Linked DNA regions of Macaca mulatta. The protein of the gene in region 2 interacts with the protein of the main gene of each other region in a biochemical or structural test. Links are inferred from orthologs where the notes say so. Each region holds a gene or a part of one and is shown on either strand. Other genes may lie near its edges. The genes, in order: NPPC, NPR2 and NPPA.

Evidence for each region.
Region 1: the proteins of NPR2 (region 2) and NPPC form a complex in vitro, tested with the Homo sapiens proteins (3 studies listed by BioGRID). The link is inferred for Macaca mulatta from reciprocal best matches to the Homo sapiens genes NPR2 and NPPC.
Region 3: the proteins of NPR2 (region 2) and NPPA form a complex in vitro, tested with the Homo sapiens proteins (3 studies listed by BioGRID). The link is inferred for Macaca mulatta from reciprocal best matches to the Homo sapiens genes NPR2 and NPPA.

What each region holds. Positions count from the first base shown.
Region 1 is NC_133417.1:137,158,817-137,162,562, forward strand, and holds the start of NPPC (C-type natriuretic peptide precursor), read right to left. Parts: upstream 2,311-3,746; 5' UTR 2,163-2,310; coding exon 2,073-2,162; intron 1,625-2,072; coding exon 1,334-1,624; 3' UTR 1,314-1,333; intron 1-1,313.
Region 2 is NC_133420.1:63,894,744-63,898,389, reverse strand, and holds part of NPR2 (atrial natriuretic peptide receptor 2), read left to right. Parts: coding exon 1-49; intron 50-274; coding exon 275-407; intron 408-632; coding exon 633-717; intron 718-1,196; coding exon 1,197-1,326; intron 1,327-1,488; coding exon 1,489-1,563; intron 1,564-1,768; coding exon 1,769-1,846; intron 1,847-2,077; coding exon 2,078-2,182; intron 2,183-2,306; coding exon 2,307-2,378; intron 2,379-3,646. UniProt on the Homo sapiens protein: Receptor for the C-type natriuretic peptide NPPC/CNP hormone. Has guanylate cyclase activity upon binding of its ligand. May play a role in the regulation of skeletal growth.
Region 3 is NC_133406.1:228,884,886-228,888,519, reverse strand, and holds NPPA (natriuretic peptides A), read right to left. Parts: upstream 2,390-3,634; 5' UTR 2,275-2,389; coding exon 2,152-2,274; intron 2,030-2,151; coding exon 1,703-2,029; intron 881-1,702; coding exon 869-880; 3' UTR 575-868; downstream 1-574.

The DNA.
Region 1 (3,746 bases), on a different chromosome or scaffold from region 2:
AGGTCTGGCTGCAAAGAGAGGAAGGGCACTGGTTAAAACCTAGGGCAGGTGGGAGTGGCCATGGGCTAGGGTGTGCTGGTTTCTCTGGTCATTGACAAATATTTCTGAGTCTGTACGGGGTGCAGTGGGTCCTAGAGTGCCTTAGGCCAGCACTTGGCCCTTAAGCTGTTCAATACGGGGAGGTGAATGGGTTCACAAACTGTGAAAAAGTGTTCTGTACTGTGAAAAAGAGACAGTGTGCTGGAGAGGCGCTCTTGTTTCCCTCCGGGGGAAGACCCAACACTGACAAGGGTTTCTGGGGTGGAGACAGCAGCTTTCCCATGGCCTGGGATGGGACAGTCAAAGTGTGGGACAGGCAGTGGCAGCTGCTGAGCTGGAGGCAAGAAAGGGAGAAAGCCGAGTGAGCCTGATCCTAATGCACATGACTGTCAATGTCAGAGGCTGGGATGCTGTTATTCAGTGGGCACAGGCAGGCGGCAGGAATAGAGAGGAGGGAAAGAGGAGAGGTGAGGCTCTCTGCAGCAGTAAATTACCACCATGCGGCACCCGGCAGGGGGTGACGGTAGGGCAGAGGTTTCCAGCCCTAGTGCGGGGTGAGATCCCACACCAGAAACGGAGCCCAGAGCACCGGTTGGGCGGGGGACAGGGTTGGTGAGGGACTCTGGGACATGTCGAGTTTGAGGGTGGGGCAAAAAATATTTACTTTAGTATCTTTCCTATTCCCTGAAATAGTGCCACAAGCACTGAGATTCACCCCTGAAGCCACCGGGCTGCAGCTCCCCGGACAGACCAGTTTGCCCACTGCCTGGGTTTAGAGAAGGGACAGGACCCTGGATAGACCAGTTTGCCCACTGCCTGGGTTTAGAGAAGGGACAGGAATCGGAGTGCTCCAGGCAGAAGGGCGCCCTGACGGTGCCAACAGAGGGCTACTCTCGCTACAGGGGGCATGGTGGCCGGCAGATGATCAATGTCCCTTGGACTTGTGGGTGTAACCTTCCTTCTCTGCTCCCACAAACCCATGATCTCCCCTCAATTCCCCCACCAGCTGGCCAGCTGGGGCCAATGCTGCTAGTTCAGCTAAGGTGCAGGGGTGGGTGAGACGCCACCAAGCCTGTTTCTGCTTCTCTAGAAGAAGCCTGGTGGGTTCAACCAGGCTGAGCCATTTCTGACCATGCCAAAGTTCCCCGATCACTTTATCCTTCGCTTTCTTTGTCTGTAAAGGGGATAATAAAGGGGGTGGCCGGCAAACGCCTGGCACAACTTGAGCAAAGCCGGGCCGGGCTGGGGCTGGGCGCGGGGTCGGCGGTACTCACCGCCGCCAGGGGGCGCCGCACTAACATCCCAGGCCGCTCATGGAGCCGATTCGGTCCAGCTTGAGGCCGAAGCAGCCCTTGGACAAGCCCTTCTTGTTGGCTCCTTTGTATTTGCGCGCGTTGGGGTGCTCGTGCAGAAGGCGGGCCCACGCTGCCCGCGACTTGGTGTCCACGCGCAGGTCCCGGAGCAGTCGCGATCGGTCGCCCTTGAGGTTGGCGCCCCCGCCCCCGGGAGCCTTGTCGCCCTTCTTCTGACCGCCGCCCGCAGCCTGCGGCTCGGCCAGCTCCTCTCCCGGCGGGGTTCGCGGGACCTGTCCGAAGAAAGAGCGGGCAGGTGAAGGGACGCGCGGCTGCAGCACAGGGGACTTTGATGCTCCAGCCCCACGCGCCCGCCGGCGCGGGGTGTCCCTCCTAAGCCCAGAGCCGCCCCCACCGATGCCGGCCAGCTTGGCCCCGCATCCACCTGCCACGCGGCCGCCTTCTCCGCTCCCTCCGGAAGCCCCCTGCCCTCCCCTCCTTTGCTGCTCGCCCGGCAGGCCACGCTGGGGCAGGGGGCTGCGCATGGGCCGGCGTTCTCCGGAGGCTGGGGGAGTTGACCCCCGAGTCCGCGCTTCGAGGGCTCCCCGGGTCTCGCCCACGCGCATCTCGGAGGAGAGAGCCGCCTGCCTTCCCTCTCTCCTGGGTCCTGCGCGCCGCATTCTCCAAGCCCCCAGCCTCCCACGACTCTCTCAGGCTCGGCGTCCCCACGACAGCACCCACCTTCGGCGGCGCTCCGGGCTTGGCTTCGGAGGGCCGGAGTGAGAGCAGTGTGAGCAGCAGGGCGCAGGCCAGCAGCTGGGAGAGATGCATGGTGCCGCTGGGGTCTAGGGGCGCAGACGGGCGGCAGCGAGGGCGCGCGGGTCGGCGGGCAGACCAGCAGGCTGGTGCGGAGCAAGCTGGCTGGGCTGCAGGGCGAGCAGGCTCCCAGTGCTGCGCGGCGCCGGCTGGGTGCGCTCTGAGCCCGTGACTCCCCTCGCGCCTTTATAATCCAACCTGCCGCTGATGTCATCCTCCCGCCCACCGGGCTGCCCGGGCCAATGACACCACGCACGCGGCCGCGCCGAGGGCCGGGAGGGGGCCGCGGGGGCTCCCCTCCCTTATCCCACCCCGGAGGGATCCCGCGGTTCTGCCGGCTCGCTCCAGGCTGCACTTGGAGCTGCAGAGCGGCGCGCACAGGGGAACTCCATTTGCAGCCAGCGCGCGCCCTGGCCTGATGAGCATCAGTGCGCCCTGTGCCCTGTGCACCCACTGGGTCCTCAGCACACTCACTCTACCTAGAAGGGATCTATAGCTCTCTTTGCAGGTGCAAAGACAGGCTCAGAGGAATGAAATTACTTGCCCAAAGTCATACAGGCAGAAAGTTGGCGCTGCCCGAAATCCACGCAGCCCTGCTGGTCGCCAAACTCTTCCCTGGCACCTGACAGCCGCGGGATGGGCATTGCAGCTCCGCCTCTCACCTGCTCGCCAGGGCGGGAGCGCAGACCACAGAGATGTCGTTAGGTTGGGGAGGTAGAGGATGGGGTTGGAGGACTGGGGTGGGAGGCACAGGGAGAGCGGGGTTCGCCTGGGCCGCGGCGGGAGCGCAAGTCTTCCGCACTGGAGAGTGCAAGCATGTCGCCAACCTGAGTGTTTGAGCGGGAGGCGGGAACGAGGGGACTGCGAGCGCGGAACCAAGATATTCATGTTCATGCGTGTGCTCGGCGGCATCGTGTGCTCGCCAGTTATGGCTCTAGGTTCACGTTCAGCCGGTTTCGGCTACACAGAACGTCCCCGGGTCTGACTCCGCTGGTGAACTCGGTCTGTGGGAACAATGCGCACCTGACCTTGCCTGCACCCACGCGAGGATCCGCTGCTGAGAGAAGCCCGCTCCAGTATCCTGTGCACTTTCACAGGCTGGGGAGGGAGCTTCCTAACCAGCGGCCCGGTCCAGCCTCTGCCAGCCGTGACAGGTGGTCAACTTCCCACTGTTGACTGTAGAAAGGTCCTCGTGGCTCTCGGGACACGGCCACATATCCCTACCACTCACAAACTTGCTCTCCTTGCACTGGGCTTCTTGGTCCCTTGGGCACTAAGGAGTGTGGTGGGCACTTGGGCACTGCGGTGTGGGCCGCAGAGGCGGAGAGCCCAGATCCCCCAAATTGAGTGAGGTGCACGAATCTATGACTGGCTGCTGCCGAGCAGGACGCAGGCTGGAGAGAGAACAAATGTTGCCGCAGGAGTGCAGTGGCTGTCCCCAGGCGTGAAGAGGATTCTGCGGAGACAGTAGCCCAGACGAGCTTTTCCAGGGAGAGGAAGCGGTGCCTGAGGCAGGAAGGCGGCTGGAGTGAAGAGGGGTTTTGAGCACCAGGTTCCTCCAAACCTCCCTCTTTCCTCCGTGGTAGTGAGCCTGGTCCC
Region 2 (3,646 bases):
TGACTTTGTCCTGTGGGCCATGGGAGACCTGGATTCTGGGGACTTTCAGGTGATGGGGGAGGAGGCAGGGAAGAGAGTGTGGCCTTGCAAAATTCAGCTTTCAAGGGTTCAGTGGGGGCAGAACCAAAAGTACTAGAGGAGGGACTTGTTTTATCTGCTGGTGCTGCATCCTGGCTGGGTGGTAGGCTGGGGAGAAAAGCAGCAAAACAGCTGGGGTCTGGGGAGGAGGCTGGTGGGAGTAGGCCTGTGGGCCCAGCTTTTTGCTTCCTTATAGCCTGCAGCCCACTACTCGGGAGCTGAGAAGCAGATTTGGTGGACGGGACGGCCTATTCCCTGGGTGAAGGGGGCTCCTCCCTCGGACAATCCCCCCTGTGCCTTTGACTTGGACGACCCATCCTGTGATAAAAGTGGGTGTGTGCAGGGACTGGGAGCAACCTTCCTCCCTTTGCTTTCCATTCGTGGTCTCCACCCTCACTGACCCTCCACTCTTAACTGTGCTTCTGCCTTTACGTCTGCATCCCTCCCTCATTTCTTCCTACTCCCAAGGAATCTGTCTATGCACCTATGCACCCCATTCTCCATTCTGCCAAGTCCACACACAGTCTTCCTCAGGGTCTCTATCTCCCCTTCAGCTCCACTTTCAACTCTGGCAATTGTGGCTCTGGGCACAGGAATCACCTTCATCATGTTTGGTGTTTCCAGCTTCCTAATTTTCCGGTGAGTTCTGTGTTTCCCGCTGACCTACTCCCTACCCCCACTGCCACACAGCCTCTGGCTGAAGCCAGGTGGTCACTATAATGTGGGATAGGGTAGCAGGTTTCTTAATTTGCTGGTTGTTTCTTAGATCCAACAGTGTCTTCCTCTCTAGCCTCTCTCTTTAGTTGTCTTTTAGCCTAGGTGTTTGTTCCACTTTTGGTTCTAGACTGGATATACTAACTAGTGTTTTTCAGTGGGGTTAAGATCAAAGGTGAATTTTCCATTGGTCTTCTTTTAGGAAAGAACTTTCACCCCCAATCTCTGTGTTTGTTAGTGAGCATAGGGCATGTGCCAGATATGCCGAGAATGCAGCCTCATCTTCCAGCCCTATCTCTTAGGTGTAACAGTTGCAGCTTCAGGAGCTGCAGGGAAGCCCCTGCAACCCCGCTGTTGGCTTGGGGGTGGCAGGATTTGGCTTGCCAGTCAACTGAGGTGTGCAGTCCTTACAGAAAGCTGATGCTGGAGAAGGAGCTGGCTAGCATGTTGTGGCGCATTCGCTGGGAAGAACTGCAGTTTGGCAACTCAGAGCGTTATCACAAAGGTGCAGGCAGTCGCCTCACACTGTCGCTGGTGAGCCCTTGTCTCAGCTGTCCCTCTGCCTCCCTCTGAGTTCCTGTCCCTTCTTACCCTGGATCTCTCCCAGCACATTGGCTTGTAATGATAGCCCCTGCACTACCACCATCATCTAATGTTCCTTTCATCCTTCCGCCTCCATGTTGCCCTTGGCCCCAGCGGGGATCCAGTTACGGCTCGCTCATGACAGCCCATGGGAAATACCAGATCTTTGCCAACACCGGTCACTTCAAGGTGAACAGTCATCTGCTTGTTCTGGTCCCCACCATTTCATCCTTTCTCATCCCCATCTGCCACCTCTGCCCCTGCACCTCTGCCCCTCATACCCCCCTCTCTGTGCCCAGCTGAGCTCCTGGATGCTTCCACTGCTCTCTAGCATTTCCTTGCACCCAGAACTTCCGATATTCATTTTCCTTTCCCCTTTCACTCCCACCATCAGGGAAATGTTGTCGCCATCAAACACGTGAATAAGAAGCGCATTGAGCTAACCCGGCAGGTTCTGTTCGAACTCAAACATGTATGTAACGGAGGATGGGTTGAGGGTGAGGGGTAAACAGGGATGGGGAAGAGGAGTGGGGAAAACTACGAAATAGTAAAATTGGCTGGACGGGCAAGGGGTTGATTTATAAATGATTTTAAAATTGTAGATACAACTAAGAGAAAGGTCCTCGTATGTAGTGGTAAGTTTCTGTATCTAATTTTTAACTCTTCCAATGTTCTTATCCTTCCCATTGTTTTTTTCTGCCAGATGAGAGATGTTCAGTTCAACCACCTCACTCGCTTCATTGGCGCCTGCATAGACCCTCCTAACATTTGCATTGTCACTGAATATTGTCCTCGTGGGAGTTTACAGGTGAGAGATAGGTGTAGGAGATTATGGCAGGGGTGGGGAGGATAGACCCAAAATTATACTGACTCTATGTCAGGTGATAGCTAGTGGGACCAGGACAGACAATCTATTCCATGTCACTTACCAGGATATTCTAGAAAATGACAGCATCAACTTGGACTGGATGTTTCGTTATTCACTCATTAATGACCTTGTTAAGGTGAGTTTTCCCCACTCCTTAAAAGTTCATCCACTTTTAAATCACTTCCACTGTTCTTTGATTGTGGTTTTTCTCCTTCTAGTCCTCTGAAAGTCCTGTTCTCTCATCTCCCCTTATTCCCATGGGGGGGTAATAATGGGTAAATAAGGAGTCTGGGACTCATAACTGGGAGAGTGAGTTTTACCTGCCACAAGGAGTCCTGTCCCTGTAGAGAGTTTCTGTCTTTCTGTCTTAAATATCTCAGGTCTCTTTCCATCATCTCTTTTACCTCGAAGAGCTCATAAAATGAGTGGGGTCTCTGAACATATTTATCTCCTATATTTCCTCTCATTATTTTACTCTCTGACCAATATTTGGGCATGTCTGCCCTTTTGTTCAGAAAACTGAAATTTAAAAAAGGAACTTTTACTAGTAGAACTAAGAGAAACCAAGGAAGAGTGTATTAAAAACCTTTGGTACTCTTCTGTTATACTAGGTTTCAGCTATATTCAAATGACTCAGAGGCTCATGGATTTGTGGAACATAAAATAGAATCTTGCATGAGTTGGACAGGTTTTCTGAAATAAGTCTCATAGCCAGTGAGCATCCCAGTGGATCACCCCATGCTGTATTTGAAGCTAGCTTTGGTTTTCTGCTAACTTCTCATGAAATTATTTAAAAAGTATTTTTTTGTGTGTGAAAATTTGCTATCAAGTGAGAGATAAAATATTAGTAAAGCCAATGTCATGCTCAACTAGAGGAGTGATGATAAATATAAGAAAAACACGACTCTTGAGAGAATAGTGATTTGGTGGAAAAGTGATTTACAACAAAGCCAGAAGCCTAATCCTGTGATTTTTGAAGGCATCCTTTGCACAGTTTCCACACAAGTAAATTCACAACTTCAGAGATTCCCAAAAGTTTTGTTGATACCAAAAGAAATAAAAAGGAAGAGTTCATAGAGATTAGAGATTAGACATTAGAGTTATGAATTAAGTCCAGAGCTAAACATTTAGACAAAAATGTTTTTCATTAGCATATTGAACCTTGTATCCTCTTTCTGTCTCACCTGAACGGACTTGGGTGGCTCCTAGGGTTTCATTTTTGGGGAGCATCATTAAGACTTTTTTTTTTTTTTTTTTCCTGAGACTGGGTCTTATTCTGTTGCCCAGGCTACAGTGTAGTGGCTAGATCACTGCTCACTGCAGCCTTGACCTCCTGGGCTCAAGTGATTCTCCCACCTTAGCCTCCTGAGTAGCTGGAACCACAGCGTGTGCTGCCGTGCCCAG
Region 3 (3,634 bases), on a different chromosome or scaffold from region 2:
GGCACGATACCAGCTCGCTGCAGCCTCCGCCTCCCAGGCTTAAGCCATCCTCCCACCTTGGCCTCCTGAATAGCTGGAACTGCCGGTGCACATCACCACGCCTGGCTAATTTTTAAATTTTTTGTAGAGATGAGGTCTTTATTGCTCAGGCTGGCCTTGAACTCCTGGGCTCAAGTGATTTGCCCACTTTGGCCTCCCAAAATGCTGGGATTACAGGAGTGAGCCACTACACCCAGCCTACTCAGCTTTTAAGCTCAACACTCTGCCTACTCTTTTCAAAACTAAAAGTGCCATTAACTTAGCTGTGGCACCTAACTCTCTCGAAATGTATCAGAGGAAATCTAATTAATACTCTCATTTTCTGAATGTTCCCCCCCAAAACAACAAAAACCCCCGTAACCAAAAAGCACTAAGTGGAATTTGAGGCCTCCCCAACCACCCACCAAAAAAGGAGGGTGAAATGAAAGGAATAAGAAAACCTCAGCATTCTGTTCTCTGACAAAGAGTAAAATGACAAGGAATATCGATCGGCCTGAATTCTCTTCCCCAAGAAGAAATCACACCAACGCAGGCATTTGTCTTCTGTCCATGGTGCTGAAGTTTATTCACTTTCAAACCACTTTCAGTAACAGGTGAGGTTCTACCTTAAAATTTAATGCATGGGGTGGGAGAGGCAAGGAAGCCACCATCACACCACTTTATCTACAGTTAGTGTAAGATGTGAGAAGTGTTGACAGGAAGCTGCAGCTTGGATGGGATGATCACAACTCCATGACAACGAGATGACACGAATGCAGGAGAGACCCCAGCGGGCAGGAACCTCTTGCCGTCTGTCCCAAGGCCCAGCCCTCCTTGTGCTCCCTGGCTGTTATCTTCGGTACTACAAAGAGAACACAGACATATCTGGCTTGGTGACCTGGCTGTCTTGGAAAAGTCAGCTTCATGTGTGAGTGTGCCCATCCTCTGAACTTGATTACTGACTACCTGCTTCCCACCGGCCCCCACCCCAGCCTGATGACCCTCTGAACTTCATGAATTGATAAGCAAGTTACTCGTCAGAGTAAATTTCAATTGAGCCCTTCAGGATCTTGCAATTCTGGGGAGGAACATGAGCTGCTAATCAGCCATGCAAAGATAACTTGGCCCTATGACTATTTTAATTTCCCAGTGCTAGTGGCAGTTGCTTCTTCTTCTTCTTTTTTTTTTTTTTTCTTTGAGACAGAGTCTCACTCTATCACCTAGGCTGGAGTGCAGTGGGGCAATCTTGGCTCACTGCAACCTCTGCCTCCTGGGTTCAAGTGATTCTCCTGCCTCAGCCTCCCGAGTAGCTAGGACTATAGGCACCCAGCACCACCGTGCCCAGCTAATTTTTGTATTTTTAGTAGAGACGGGGTTTCACCATGTTGGCCAGGATAGTCTCGATCTCTTGACTTCATGATCCGCCTGCCTTGGCCTCCCAAAGTGCTGGGATTATAGGCGTGAGCCACCGTGCCCGGCCTTTTTTTTTTTTTTTTTTTTTAAGCATTTTCTCAGCAGACTGTAGCTAAGGACAATAGATGGCGTGTCCTGACACCCATGGGGCACTCACAGTGTTGGGGCAGAAACTTGAGAGAGAATGAGCTTCTGCATTGGTCTCTTTCCTGCTGAGGGTGTCTCCCAGTAGTGTCCATCCCATCCCATTTCCATCCCCAGTTCCTCTTACCCGGAAGCTGTTACAGCCCAGTCCACTCTGGGCTCCAATCCTGTCCATCCTGCCCCCGAAGCAACTGGATCTCCGCAGGCTCCGAGGGGCAGTGAGCAGCGCCCTCAGCTTGCTTTTTAAGAGGGCAGATCGATCGGAGGAGTCCCAGGGGCCCTGCCCGAGGGCACCCCCATCTCTCTGGGCTGGGCTGACATCCCCGGTCCAGGGAGGCACCTCAGGGAGGGGGCTGAGAGCAGCCCCCGCTTCTTCATTCTGCTCTCTGAGCACTTGTGGGGGCATGACCTCATCTTCTAAAGGCATCTTTTCTTCCAAATGGTCCAGCAAATTCTTTACAAAAGGAAAATACAGGGAAAGGGATAAACCTCATTGACTTGGAGAAAATCAAGAGGCGTGAGCACAGCATCAGAAAGCCCCGTGGCCCCAGACTGCACCCGCTTTCCTGGCCCTACCTTGAAATCCATCAGGTCTGCGTTGGACACGGCATTGTACATGGGATTAGCTCTGGTCTGACCTGGGAGCTGGAATGCCAGAAAAAGGAGGAAGCTCACACTGATGGTGGAGAAGGAGCTCATGCTGGCGTAGTCAAGGAGCAATCCACTGCTTGCTGCTCTGTCTCTCCCCTCTGGTTCCTCTCTGGTTCCCCTCTCTTGGCCTACGTCCGTCCCTGTCTCCCAGCTGCCCAGTGCCTCCTCTTTTTATAGCCCCCCAGCTCTCCAAGCACGCAGGAGAGACAGAACCCTCCCCATTCTGTCACTTGCAGCGATAAAGCAGCCAAGTGAGAAGCCAGCAGGAGATGCCCTTTTAAAGTTATCATCCCGCAGGGCTTGTCACAGCCCTTCTGCCTTGGGCAGCCCCAACAGCCCCCCAGACCCTCGGCTGCAAGAGCCGCATTCTTGCTGATTTGACTCAAGAGGCTTCCACTTCAAAGGTGTGAGAAGAGTAAAAAAGAGTCCTTGGTTATCTCACCACCATGCCTCAGGATTCTTTCTCCTCGATGCTGGTACCCATGCGGGGAGACAGAGGGTGACGCTTGGCTGCTGCCCAGCTCCCCTGGTTTGTTTGTGGCTCAGCTGTCAGGGCCTCCAAATAAGGGTGGAGAGGAGGAAATGGCAGGCAGCCAGCAGCCCGAGACAAATGGGTCCATATGCTCAAGCTGGCCTCACACCTGCCTCATCCGCCACGTGGGCAGACCTCTGGCCTCAGACAGGGCTGCCCTCACCCCTGGCAGTCCCTCTCCATGGTCAGACAAAAGGGAGTTATTTTTTAGTGTATAAAGTCAGCCAGGAACCAAATGTGATGAAGCTCCAAGCCCCGAATAGAAATACCAAGAAAAGCCGGGGAAGCACAAGCATCTTCTCTCCAAAGCTCCTCCTCTTCCACGTCCCCCGCGACCCTCCTCCAACATGCTGTGGGGACAGGCTTAGAGGACGCAGCGAATTTCGTTTCTTCCTTTGCTGTTTATACATGCTCAGACTCTTCGTGTTTGAAGTTTGTAACAGCCCCCTGCCCTTCCTGGGCTTGTGCCCATAGCAACTTAGCCGATGAACGGAGGGAGGTGGGGGTGAAGGAGGTATAGTCGGTTTCCTTCAATGCCGTCTACATCCTTCCCTGAGGACGTGGCAAGGGGCAAGTGACTGAGCCACCAAGGTCACAATTTCTCTGGCCCCCAAAAGAGAAATAACAGGCAACGAGCCTGTCTATGTTTAACGAATGGCCTGTTTGCTAAGCACCGAACTCAGTGTTAGCCATTACCATTCAATGCAACGTATACTGGGGGAAAACACTAAATTTGAAGGACTGACAGACCGGCACTCTAGCCCCAAACCAACCAGTTGCATACATCTTCGCAGCCTTATTTTCCTTGTGTGTAAAATGAGAAAGACTGTGCTGAGAACTTTATGGAAATGATTTTATTTTGATCATCATCCCCAG